Linked DNA regions of Cricetulus griseus. The protein of the gene in region 2 purifies or fractionates together with the protein of the main gene of each other region. This does not show direct contact. Links are inferred from orthologs where the notes say so. Each region holds a gene or a part of one and is shown on either strand. Other genes may lie near its edges.

Region 1 (2,792 bases), on a different chromosome or scaffold from region 2:
TCTCAGAAAAGCAGCAATACTGCTTCCTTTCACTTTGTAAGGATGCAACAGGGACACAGACCTCCACCCGCTCCACCACGAGTCCCTCATGCAACATTTTGAGGCTGCCCGGTTGCTGTGTCTGACCTTGAACACTCCAAAGGCTAATAAGGTTGAAGGCAAGCATGCCAAAGTGTCTCTGCACAGGCGGGTAGGTAAGGAAAAAACAAAAAACAATTCTGGGGACAGAGCCATTTTCATGTTTGTTTTATTGGAAGCAAGACTCCAGCAGTAGGACTCAGGGGAGGAGGCGTGGAAAGTTTTGTCCTGGGTCTCCTATCCACCACCATGCAAAAGGGGGGGGGGGGATGCTAAGAGGAAGAAAAGCTAAAAAGGGGAATTGCCAGGCGGTGAGTGGGCAGAATAGGGTCCTAACATTTTCAACTTGGCCACCCTCAAGGAATCTACGTCGCAGCCCCGGCCCTCAGTCAACAAACAGCAAGAATGATTTCAAGACCCTCAACTGTCAGTTTTTGCGCATTCTGGGTGCTTTTAAAGTCTGGGTCCCCAAGAAGGCTCAAGAGTCTTCACTATCCACCATGCTTCACTAAAAAAGATCCCAGGATGGCCTAGAAAAAGTGGGGGTGGAGTTCTGTGGCTTCTGGCAACACTTCCCACAAAGTTTTCTTGGACTTCAGGGGATCCTCTTATCATTCCTGAGCTCCCTCTCTGGTCGCCTTGGGATCCCTGCTGTCAATCTTCCAGTCCAGGAACATGGGCCCCTTAAAACCTTGGTATGAAAGTGCACGAGGATGTGGGAGTGTTGAGGTGGCTCAGAGCCAGGAGTTCTCAGGCGGTCGAGTCCTCATTCTCAGCCCCTGGCTCAGGCTGAGACCGTTTAGCGGTGCTTTCTCCAGCAGCAGATTCCCCCAGGCTCCTCTTGGACGTCGACACCGTAGGAGTGGACGAAGGACCAGGATTGAGGTTCGGAGGCTGGTAGCCGAGTTGTAGTGGATCCAATGCGTCCTTTGAAAGTAGGATGGCCAGGCTCGGTACATTCTTAAGTACACTGAGACTGGCGGCCGGATCGTCAGGCGTCTGACCCCGCGTGGGCCCAGGCGGGAGGCTCTGCCACACCTCGCGCACGCTCCGGTAGCGCAGCCGCGTGACCTGGTGTAAGCCCGCCAGGCGGCGCTTGAGGATCTCGACGCACGTGACGGTTTTGGTGGTGGCCCGGCCGCAGCCGCTGAAGACGATGGCGCGCGTGGCTGGCTGCGCCATGCTGGCGGTGGCAAAGGCCAGCAGGTTGCGGATCTTGCTGCCCTCCTTGACCCGCATGTGTACAGCACCGGGCGCCAGGTCTGCGAAAGGGCCAGAGTTCAGGCTGCCACCCTCATCACCGTCCCCCGCCGGCGCCTCCTCCGAGCGCACCTTACGGAAGTTCTCCATGCGCCGTCGTCGCTGGGATCGCAGGTTTTGCCATGGGGTCGCTTCAAGCCCGGGGCTGCATGGCCGGGGTCGCGCCGGGCGACGGCCGGTAGGGGTTGGGATGCCGGCACCGAGTGGAAGCTGAGGGTGGGCTGTGGACACGCAGTCTCCAGCCCAGATTCCTACCGGGTGGTGCTGCTCTACTCTGAGCCCTCGGCGCCTTGTGCTCCGCGCCTTTAGCAGAAGCTCCGCCTGGGAGCCCGAGAGGCCCCGCCCCTTCGTCCAGGCCCCGCCCCAACTCTGCGTGACTTGTCCGAGTCCCAGCCCAGCCAGCCTTTGGGATCAAGCGCTAGTGCTCAGCGGCTGGGGTCACAGCGCCAGGGGTGACTTGGGAGGCGAAGTTTCCCGAAGTAACCATCGGTCCTCCCTGAACCAGTCCTCACGTAGGAGCAACCTAAATAAAAAACCATGCTTGAGGTACAGACGCCGATTCAAACCCGGTTCCCGAGCCTTGGGGGTTCCAGCTCAAGGGCATCCCTAGACCCCCTCCTAGGTAAGAGATTTCCGAACCATCTCCCGGGGCCTCACTCCTCCAACCCTCCAGAGACCCCCCCTCTCTCTCCTTAGTATTCTTGCCTCAAGGACAGCCAGTGCATGGTCAGCAGGGTGTGAGAGGAGTTGGCTCCGCTACACGTTGCGCCTTCCTAGGATTCGGACCGCTACGTCGCAGCATGGTCCTTGCCTAGCTGCTTAGAGAGATCTATCTAGGTTTCAGCCTCGCTCTTCTTAGCCAGACCTCCAGGCTCCTGGTACCCTCACACCCCTGAAATGCAGGAAGTGATGCGCAGGGCCAGCCTAAAGTGAATGGGAAGAAAACGAGACCATTTCTTCCAAGGCGTTAACGTTGTTGTATGTATTCATGCCTGAAGGTCCTTTACTAGAGCTGCACGCATTCTTATCTGCCTGGCTCAGTCCCTGCCGACACGGATTTATCACTTCCAAACCCATGAGGAATCAGTCTTGGCTCCTAGCAATCCAGAGGGCTGTTTTTGCTGAAAGGGACTGAGAGGTTTTGAGAGATGGGAAGCGGGGTGGAGTTGAAGCCTTGGGGGCGGATTTTGGGATTTGGGGTAACCTCTGGAAACTCCATCGAGCATAAGGAGAGGCTCGGGCTCTGCTGCGAGGTGAGATGAACAATAGAAAGACACGGCTAGGGACGAAGGACTGGTGGGAGGAAGAATCTTTCATAAGGAGTGAGGGAGGGACCATGCATGTCCTTCAGTCTCCAGCCTGGCTTTCACAGAATGCAGGGAGCCTGACAGACCTGCTAAAGCGAGGGCAAGGAAGAAGCACCGAAGGCTGTAGGGAGCAGGTGACCCCGAGGG
Region 2 (4,350 bases):
ATCTTTGAGGCAAAGTCCTAAGTTAATATTCAGAAACTACTCAACTAAGTTAATAATCAAGCTACTTAATTTTTCCTCATCTGCTAAGTATGGATTCGACTTTCTTCACTGAGTTGTTGCAAAGGCTAATCAAATTTGGTAAGATACTTAGCCATCACCTGAAGAGGACACAGGAAAGAGGAGACTGAACACTATGGACAGATGGAGAAGTGATACATGCAGCTAACCACATACATGGTCTATCCTCTGCAGGACCTTTTGAAAACAAGTGAAGAACTTCAGTATTTTACTATGGTCTTTCCCATAGCTCTTCATCTTGCCTTTTTCATATGAGACACTGAGTGCCTTTTCTTTTATGTATACATAAATGTAACTTTTACTATCAATTAAAATGAAGTAAAATAAACACAAAACACACTTTGAATACATGGTCTCAACTGGTTAAAATTCAGTAAAGTTTTTTTATATGCCATACTAAGACTAGCCAGACAACACTGGATTAATTTTGTTAGTATCACAGAGATAAAGGGCATGGCATGATAAAGGAGCCAGTTAGTCAGCAGCCCTAAACATGTATACATCAAATAAGAGAGCTTCAAAATGTATGAAGGAAAACTTGACAGACTGCAAAGAGGAATATACAGATCCACAATTATTACAGAAGGCAATGTGAGTATTTTCTTTCAATAATCAATTTAAAAAAGCAAGTAAAAACTCAGCAGGAATGGTGGACTTGACTACTCCAGCCAACGTGATTAGATAGGTATTTAGAAAGTATTCCACCCAACAAGAATCATGGATCAGCAGTTTACCAAAATGGACTCTTTTCTGGGCATAACATGATTTCCAAGTAAGTTAAGTAATTCAATTATTTTACTCCGGTGGAATGAAATTAGGATTCATTAATGAGGTATCTGAAAAAAAGTCCTGATAATTAAATTCGAGTTCCTTTATATTGTTGAACTGTCATAAGATGTTTACATTCTTCCTAATTCTTTAATAGCTGTAGTATTAGTAGTAGAAGTGAAGTAGTTTTTATCTATATCTTAGATCCCTGAGTGCCTTTTCTTACCTTTCTTTACAAATGTGTGGATGAACTCATGTGTAACTAGTTCATGAAGAGGTAAATTCTTCACAGAGTAATAGGGCCCAAATTCCATGGCCAGGCTTTTCAGTTCTTTTGGTAGCAGCCCACATTCAGGAATAAGAAATGAAACCTGTTGGAATATAAAAGTACAAGCAAAGTCATTCTTTTATTAACATCATGTTTTTAGGAGTGAAATATGAAAATTGCTAGCTATTCCTTCACAGGTTTTACTGGAACATACAAACACAGGCAAAAGTCTTTTAAATTTTTTTTTTCCTGGGGCTGGAGAGATGGCTCAGTGGTTAAGAGCACTGCCTGCTCTTCCAAAGGTCCTGAATTCAATTTTCAGCAACCACATGGTGGCTCACAGCTATCTGTAATGAAATCTGGTGCCTTCTTCTGGCCTGCAGACATACATGCAGGCAGAACACTGTACATAATAATTAAATAAATCTTAAAAAATTTTTTTTTTTCTCCTTGAACTCAGAGATCTACCTGCCTCTGTCTGGGATTAAAGGTGTGTACCACCTCTGCCCTGCTAGGAACAAATCTTTTTTTTTTTTTCATTTGGTGTTTTGAGACAGGGCTTCTCTGTATAGCTTTGGAGCTTGTCCTGGAATCGGCTTTGTAGACGAGGCTGGCCCCTCTGCTTCTGGAGTGCTGGGATTAAAGGTGTATACCACCACCACCCAACCCGGAACAGATTTTTTAATCTATCAATCTCAGGCAAACATATTTGATTACTCCAAGTTTCTCATTTCTACATTGCAATGTGCGGCGAGTGACTAAATAGAAATGTAATGGAAGTCTTGCTTAAATTTTATCTTTTGCACATGAGGAGCACATGTTATGTCCTTCACACTTTATATTCAAGGAAGTACAGTGTAATTCACCATGCCTTGATTTGTTTACTCTGGAGTCACAGAAAACCAAAGGAACTGTTCCTGGGAGCATAAGGTGTTTAGAGACATAGAAACAGAAGTGCTCCTGGATGCTCCCATTTTTGTAGACAAACGTTAAGTAACAGTCAGAGATTTCAACCAAGTGGAGAAGTAAAATCCGCGCGGATCTCAAATGATCCCCAAGGGCACATCTAAAGTCCGTCTCGCAAAGCTCCAACAACCAGCCTGCGCCTGAGAAACAAGGACGCCGGTTAATGTTTCTGAGAAACGTTATCAAGCCGATATTTAAGGTGTAAAAAGCGTAAGCCCTTATCGTCTTCAGGCGAGTTTTTTGGAGTTCCTTATTTGTCAGTCAAACCCGGTAGTATTTTGGAAAGAGGCATAAACGGAGCTACGGAGAGACCAAACCTAAATTTAGGGCAAAAGGCAGCTACATGTCATACTCCTAACTCCTCGGGGCCTGCTCAACCCTTCACCTGGCTACCGCGGACAGTGGGAGAACCAGTTCTGAACCCAGCAATTACCAGCCAAACTCAGAAAACCAACACAACACTGCGCTGTTCCTTAAAGGCGGAGCACCACCCTGCGTCCCAGCTCATGCTGGGAGTTGCAGTCCTACACGCCTCCAAGAAAGGCGCTCGGCAAACTAAAGAGACTACAGTCCCCAGCATGCTTGGCGACAGACTCTGTCCGCCCCCTCAAGACGAGGAGGTCCCGCCGAGGGAAACCCAGAGAGGCTCTACCCTAAACCAAAGAAGGCCGGGTGGACCTGACTCACCCTGTAATTGTGATAATGAGTCTCCACGTGTTGTTTGTGACGAGACTTTTCGTGGCCGAAGTTGGATTTCTCACAGACCATTAAGTGCCGCGGAGCGGCGAAAAGCCGGCGCAGCGTGGCCATGTTCAGCACGAGTCTTGAGTCGCCCCGCCTTCCGGATCGCCCCGCCTTTCGGATCGCCCCGCCTTTCGGATGCCCCGCCTTCCTGTCGGCCCCGCCTCCCGGACCGCCCCTCACTCCACCATTTGCCCTTTCTATTGCCACAGCCACGCCCCTAACCCTTCCTTGCTTCCCCTTTGCTGTCAGTTCCTAGGGGCATTGGGTAGGAGTTGAATGAGCTTTATTAGGCTTGTAAAGAACTGTGAAGGTTCTCGAGGACCTGACACATCCATTCCATTCCACAGACTTCTCAGGGGAGGAACAGCGCATACCTGAGCAGGACTCAGAGAAGGCTGTACTCTGCCACGTTATAAAAGGGATGATAATCCCTGTGGAGGGAGACTCTCTCACCCTAGATACACGCAGGAGGGCCGAGGTCCTACCCCAAATGATGTGACAGACTTGGGGATTGGGATGGGGAGTTGGAGGGGGAAATGGGAAGCCGGGAGGGAGAAGGAACTGGGATTGGTATTAAAATAAGATTTTAATTTAAATAAAAATTAATTTTTAAAAGATGACAAGACACAGCAAAGGTCCAGTAGTCAGGAAAGTCACCTGCTTTGCGACACACTTTCCTCACTCCTCACATGGTCTCCTTCCTAGTGCACACCTACCCACAGGCCCCTAAGTGAAAGGTTCAGGCATTATGCTGGCCTGCCCCTGTTACCTGGTGGAATCCACTCAGGCAGAACCCTGGTCAACCCAAGGTTCCATGGGAACTAAGTCTGCATGGAGGTGCAGAGGAACCCTTTAAAAGATAGGCACCTGCCCATTTACGCTCTCTGTTTCTCTGTCCCGCTCTCTGGGCGCTCTGTTCCCCTCTCTCTGTTTCCCCCGCTCTGTCTCTCTATGGCCACCGGCCAGTCGGTCAGCCATTTACCCTGTTCCTCTTCTTAGTCTCCCCATTCTGCCAGGCCTTATAATAAACTTATAGTCAATATGTATGTCTCAGCATTTCTCTTTTCTTCTTTTTAAACAAAACAATAACACTAAGTTCCCACTGAGCCCTACCGAAAAGTGGGGGGAAATATTGTGGTATTTCTACTTCCACCAGGTTGCCTTTGTTTTGCGTTTTGATTGTATGATTTATTTTTTCATTTACAACATTTCTACTTGTGTCATTTCCCCCCAAATCTCAGTTTTTTTGCTGAATTGTACTTCCAAGTAGTTGATTTTTTTAAAAGCCATATTGTTGATTTTTCTCATCTATTTTGCTAAACATATGTGTGCAGCTGACTTTCCTCTCCATGTCCTTTTGTTGGCGTCTGTTTTTGAGGGCTTATTTTTACTGGTAAACTTCTGAAATCACCCAGCATTTTACCTATTTCAGTAGCTTTGAATCCAGTTGTTGAGTTGTTTGGAGAGAGGGTCTCATTATATATCCTGACTGGCCTGGGACTCTGTGGCAAGTCTTTCCCTGTCCC
Region 3 (4,233 bases), on a different chromosome or scaffold from region 2:
AGGAACGGGTTTTCTCTGTGTAGCTCTGGCTGTCCTTGAAATGAGACAGCTTCTTGCTTCTCCCTCCCACGTGCCGGGATTAAAGGCAAGCTCCACACAGCCTGGCAGAATATGCTCTCTTTATGAGCCACATGTGAAGCTTCAGCCCAACTGACAAAGCTTGCTGACATACCCAGATAGAATCTGTAACATTCACTTATGAAATAGGCTGAGCACACTGAACAGGGCAGAGAAGCAAGAACAAGAGAGGTTTCAGGCACAGGCTGTCACTGTCATTCCCTACAGAGTGGGAGATGACATGAAATCAAGGAATCCAAGTCCCTCAGAGTGACTCTGGTACCCTAGGAAAGGAGCCTGGCACAAGAAGACATCAGCACTAAAGACCTTGATGGGGCCTAATGTACTGAATGTAAAGATGAGAAGTAATCCATGGGAAGGACAGCTAGACCAGACTCTGAGCCATCTTTGTTGCCACGTCTCCTGCTCCCAGCCCACCTTTCAAAGATTGTACCTGTACATCGTGCTCTTTGGCTTCTTTATGAGAAAGGGCATGGTAAATCACAGCTGGGGGATAAAAGACAAAAAGAGAAGATTACTTCCTGTGAGGAGTGAGTATAATATCCAAGGCTTTTCCAACTATGACTTCTGAATAAGCACTCTTATTCAGATGAGGACTACTGGGTTAGTATGAAAAGGCAAAGCTTTCTTGGATGATCCTTCTATTATACTCTGCAGTGCCAGGAGATTAAACTCAGTGGGGTTTAATGCAGGGCAGGCTTCACCATGGATCCATGCCCCCGACCCTACTCAATGCGGCTTATTTACACATTTATTTAAAGACAGGCTTTCAGTTTGTATCCTGGGCTGGCTTAGAGTTCGCTATATAGCCCACAGTGGCCTTAAACCCTCAGTACTCCTGTCTTAGGCACCCAAGTGCTAGTTGCTGGATTATACACGTGTACCACCACAATTATCCCAGATACATTTTACTCTTCCCTTGGCCAGAGATTTGTCCTGGAAATTCCCAGGATGAGGTTTAAAAGAGCACCTCTCAAAGCTTAACTTGTTTAAGAATCACTGGACTCTTATAAAGACACCGGTTTTAATTTCTACTCTAGACTCTGCATGTCCAAAAAAATTCCTCAATGGTGCACATTGATTGATTGAAAATACAAGTTATAATTATGCTTGGGTGGTTGCTCACTTAGTAGTGAAGACACTAAAAGTGAGGTGATATTAATGGCTAGGGTGTGGTTGATTGAAACTGAACAATTTGCAGAGTACAAGAAGTTTAAAACAGATTTTTAAGTCTTTAATCCATAAAATTGGAATGTACCCTGACCAGATAGATACAACAGTCTTTCTTCAAATTCTAAATATGTCCAGCATGATGCCAAACTTTCTCTAAACCTCATGCTCCTGTTTGGTATTTGTTTGGAGGAAACCACCATGGTGGTGGGGGCAGAGTACAGGAATAAAGGAGATAAGAAAGAGCAAATGACCAGAATATGTAGCTCACACTACACCCTATACACTCAGTCTCTGAGCTGGGTGTGGTGGCACACACAGTTGATCCCATCACTTCAGAGGGTGAGGCAGCCTAGCTTACATAGTGAGTCCCAGCTCAGTCAGGACTACATAGCTGACCTCATCCCAACAGCTACAATAACAAACCAACAAACAAAAGCCCATGTCTGTTCTCTTGTGCTTCCCTGGGTACATGTCTGACCAGAGAGTTACCAGTTTTACATACAAAATCTTTAGTTCTCCCTTGAACTGCAGATTAAGACTATACTTTGTTTCTTGAGGAAAATGTGCAGGGCCTGGGACCCCAGGAATAATGTTGCTTTACCTACTGCAGATGCCTAGCATGAGAGCTGGAAGACTTCCTGCTGCAGTACACATGTGACAGCTCTGGTACACTCAGTGCTTGTCAAGTACTTGTTTTACAGCAACACATACATGCATACATACATGCATACATAAGTACATATATATACTCATAGGTGTGTATATAATTTATTTCAATCTCATTAACCTTTCTAAGCCATTCGGAATATAATTATTTCCTTGTATGCACATAATAATATTGACATTGAGTCATGCCAAGGCATCAGAGGATGAAAGGACACAGCAGGGGTGGAAATCATTAGATCAGAGGCTTAATCTTTACATTGTGCTCTCTCTGCTCTAATACCGCTCCAGTGCTTGCTTCCCTTCCTGGCTCATCCCTTTTCTGCTCAAATACCAACGCCTTAGGTTTGTGACACTGCGCCCGGGAAGCTTTTTATAAGAGAAAGGGTGAAAAGCCAGGATGTGGAAGGGAGCAATAGTTATACAGGCAGGCAGTGGTCAGGACAAGCTAAAGGCCTTGGCTGCACCTCTTCCAGTTCTCCTGAGCGTCACCAGTTCCCTGGGGTACCACACACTCATCCTGACATCTATTCCAGCTTAGAGACTGAGTTGGCCGATTCACACTCTGGGCCTCGACTGCTTTTGTGTACTGAGTCAGTTGCCTGGAAGTTGTCTCGGGACTCTGTTGTGACAGGATCCCTGATTCGGCTTCCATTCCCGACCCTCTATGCTGTCATCCACCCCGATTTCGAATCTCTCGTGACACTGACCCTTCATTGTCGGCGGCTTCCCGCGAGCTCTGGTGAAGTCTCCTTCGGGCCTCGCTCACTGCTTCCCTTTATTAGCTCTCTTCAGCAGCTTTCGGCCACCGGGACTCTTTCTGGTTGAAATTTCCGCTGGACAAATCCGCTGTGCCCAAGAAACGACGCGGGCACAGTCCACACACAGACTCGCTCCAGTACTTCAATGGACCCCGATCTGACTTCCGCTATGGCGCCTCGCGTGACGTCATGGAGCCGCGCCGGCCTCTGGCGGACATGCGCCTTGTGTTTGGCTCTGCAGCCGAGGGAGGGGCGAGGGAGGCGGCCGCGTCTGTGGCTGGCGGAGCGGAGCCTGTTTTTCGCTGTCTCTTCAGTTGGTGTCGCCCCCTGGCGGCCACAGTCGGGTTGCGGGTCAGAACACAGGAACACAGGAGGCGAGCTGTCCTGAAGAGGACGCCAGGGAGACTGGGGCCAGGAAGGCCCGAATGCGCCTGAAATAGCGGAGGTAATGGCTGCAGTGAGGGTTTAGGAGTCCTTTGGAGTTTTGTTTTCCCTTCAGTTTTCCCTGACAGGGTTTCCACTGTTTAACAGCGCTGCCCGACCTGGAACTCACTCTGTAGACCAGGCAGCCTCAAACTCAGAGATCCTCCTGCCTCTGCCTCCTGCGTGCTGGATTAAAGGCAACTGCCACAACCCTCAGTTTTATTTATTTATTTATTTATTTATTTATTTATTTATTTATTTATTTATTTATTTTTTAAGCAAGGGAGTCAATGCCCATGGCTGTCCTAGAATTCATTCACAGTATTACTAGTCACATTGTGTAATGATGATGGGGATTTACATCTGTTTCAGCTACTAAGTACTTTTATCACCTCGTTTAAGGGTCTGTTTCCTATGACTGAAAAGAGAGAGTAACTTTAGCTGGCTTTGGTCTCAGAACACTTGCTTTTTAAATTTATTTTTCTCCTCTAAAGACAAAGTCTCCCTGAGTAGCCCAGACATTTGCTATGTAGCCTAGGCTGATCTTGGAAATGGAGTATTCCTGTGTAGGCTTCCCTTCCTGCATCCAACCCAAAAAGCATCCTTGAGACTGGGAGAATTGGTGCTGTCAGTATGATAAAAGACAAAAAGTGATTCTCTGGAATCCAAAGGTCCAGCCAAGCCTGCTCAGGTTGCCTTGGTTCTGTCCAGACACTGCCTTTAATTTCCTGAGTGCTGGATCTAACTTGGAGGGTGGGTAAGGGAAAGCAGTGGTTTTCTTAATAGTGAGCACTATGCAACCTTTTAAAGGCAAAAAGAATTCTCAGAAAAACTTGGGCAAACAACACCGCATCCTTGTTTAAGAAACATAGGCTTTGTAGATCTTTGGGTGATAAGTGTGTGCCATTTTGATCTTAAGCAGTACAGGACATGGTAAGGCACATAGGATTTAGAGTTTGGGGACAGCCTGATAACAGCAGGATGGTCACTAAATGTGTTTCCTTTACAAAGGCCTGCAACTATTTTAGCATCTATCAGAGTGTATTTGAGAAAGTGCCCTTGAAAGCTCATAACATGTGAACTCCATAATGTACACCTGATCACTTGTTTGAGACAGAGTCTCCCTCTGTAGGCC

The links.
Region 1: the proteins of Rpp40 (region 2) and Rpp25 purify together in Homo sapiens (affinity purification with mass spectrometry; 3 studies listed by BioGRID and IntAct, counting the BioPlex papers as one, with this or other methods). This does not show direct contact. The link is inferred for Cricetulus griseus from reciprocal best matches to the Homo sapiens genes RPP40 and RPP25.
Region 3: the proteins of Rpp40 (region 2) and Pop4 purify together in Homo sapiens (affinity purification with mass spectrometry; 3 studies listed by BioGRID and IntAct, counting the BioPlex papers as one, with this or other methods). This does not show direct contact. The link is inferred for Cricetulus griseus from reciprocal best matches to the Homo sapiens genes RPP40 and POP4.

The regions. Positions count from the first base shown.
Region 1 is NC_048597.1:169,125,024-169,127,815, reverse strand, and holds Rpp25 (ribonuclease P protein subunit p25), read right to left. Parts: upstream 1,429-2,792; coding exon 829-1,428; 3' UTR 644-828; downstream 1-643. UniProt on the Homo sapiens protein: Component of ribonuclease P, a ribonucleoprotein complex that generates mature tRNA molecules by cleaving their 5'-ends. Also a component of the MRP ribonuclease complex, which cleaves pre-rRNA sequences.
Region 2 is NC_048596.1:255,639,152-255,643,501, forward strand, and holds the start of Rpp40 (ribonuclease P protein subunit p40), read right to left. Parts: upstream 2,929-4,350; 5' UTR 2,891-2,928; coding exon 2,768-2,890; intron 1,218-2,767; coding exon 1,073-1,217; intron 1-1,072. UniProt on the Homo sapiens protein: Component of ribonuclease P, a ribonucleoprotein complex that generates mature tRNA molecules by cleaving their 5'-ends. Also a component of the MRP ribonuclease complex, which cleaves pre-rRNA sequences.
Region 3 is NC_048599.1:152,153,523-152,157,755, reverse strand, and holds the start of Pop4 (ribonuclease P protein subunit p29), read right to left. Parts: upstream 2,861-4,233; 5' UTR 2,632-2,860; coding exon 2,625-2,631; intron 565-2,624; coding exon 512-564; intron 1-511. UniProt on the Homo sapiens protein: Component of ribonuclease P, a ribonucleoprotein complex that generates mature tRNA molecules by cleaving their 5'-ends.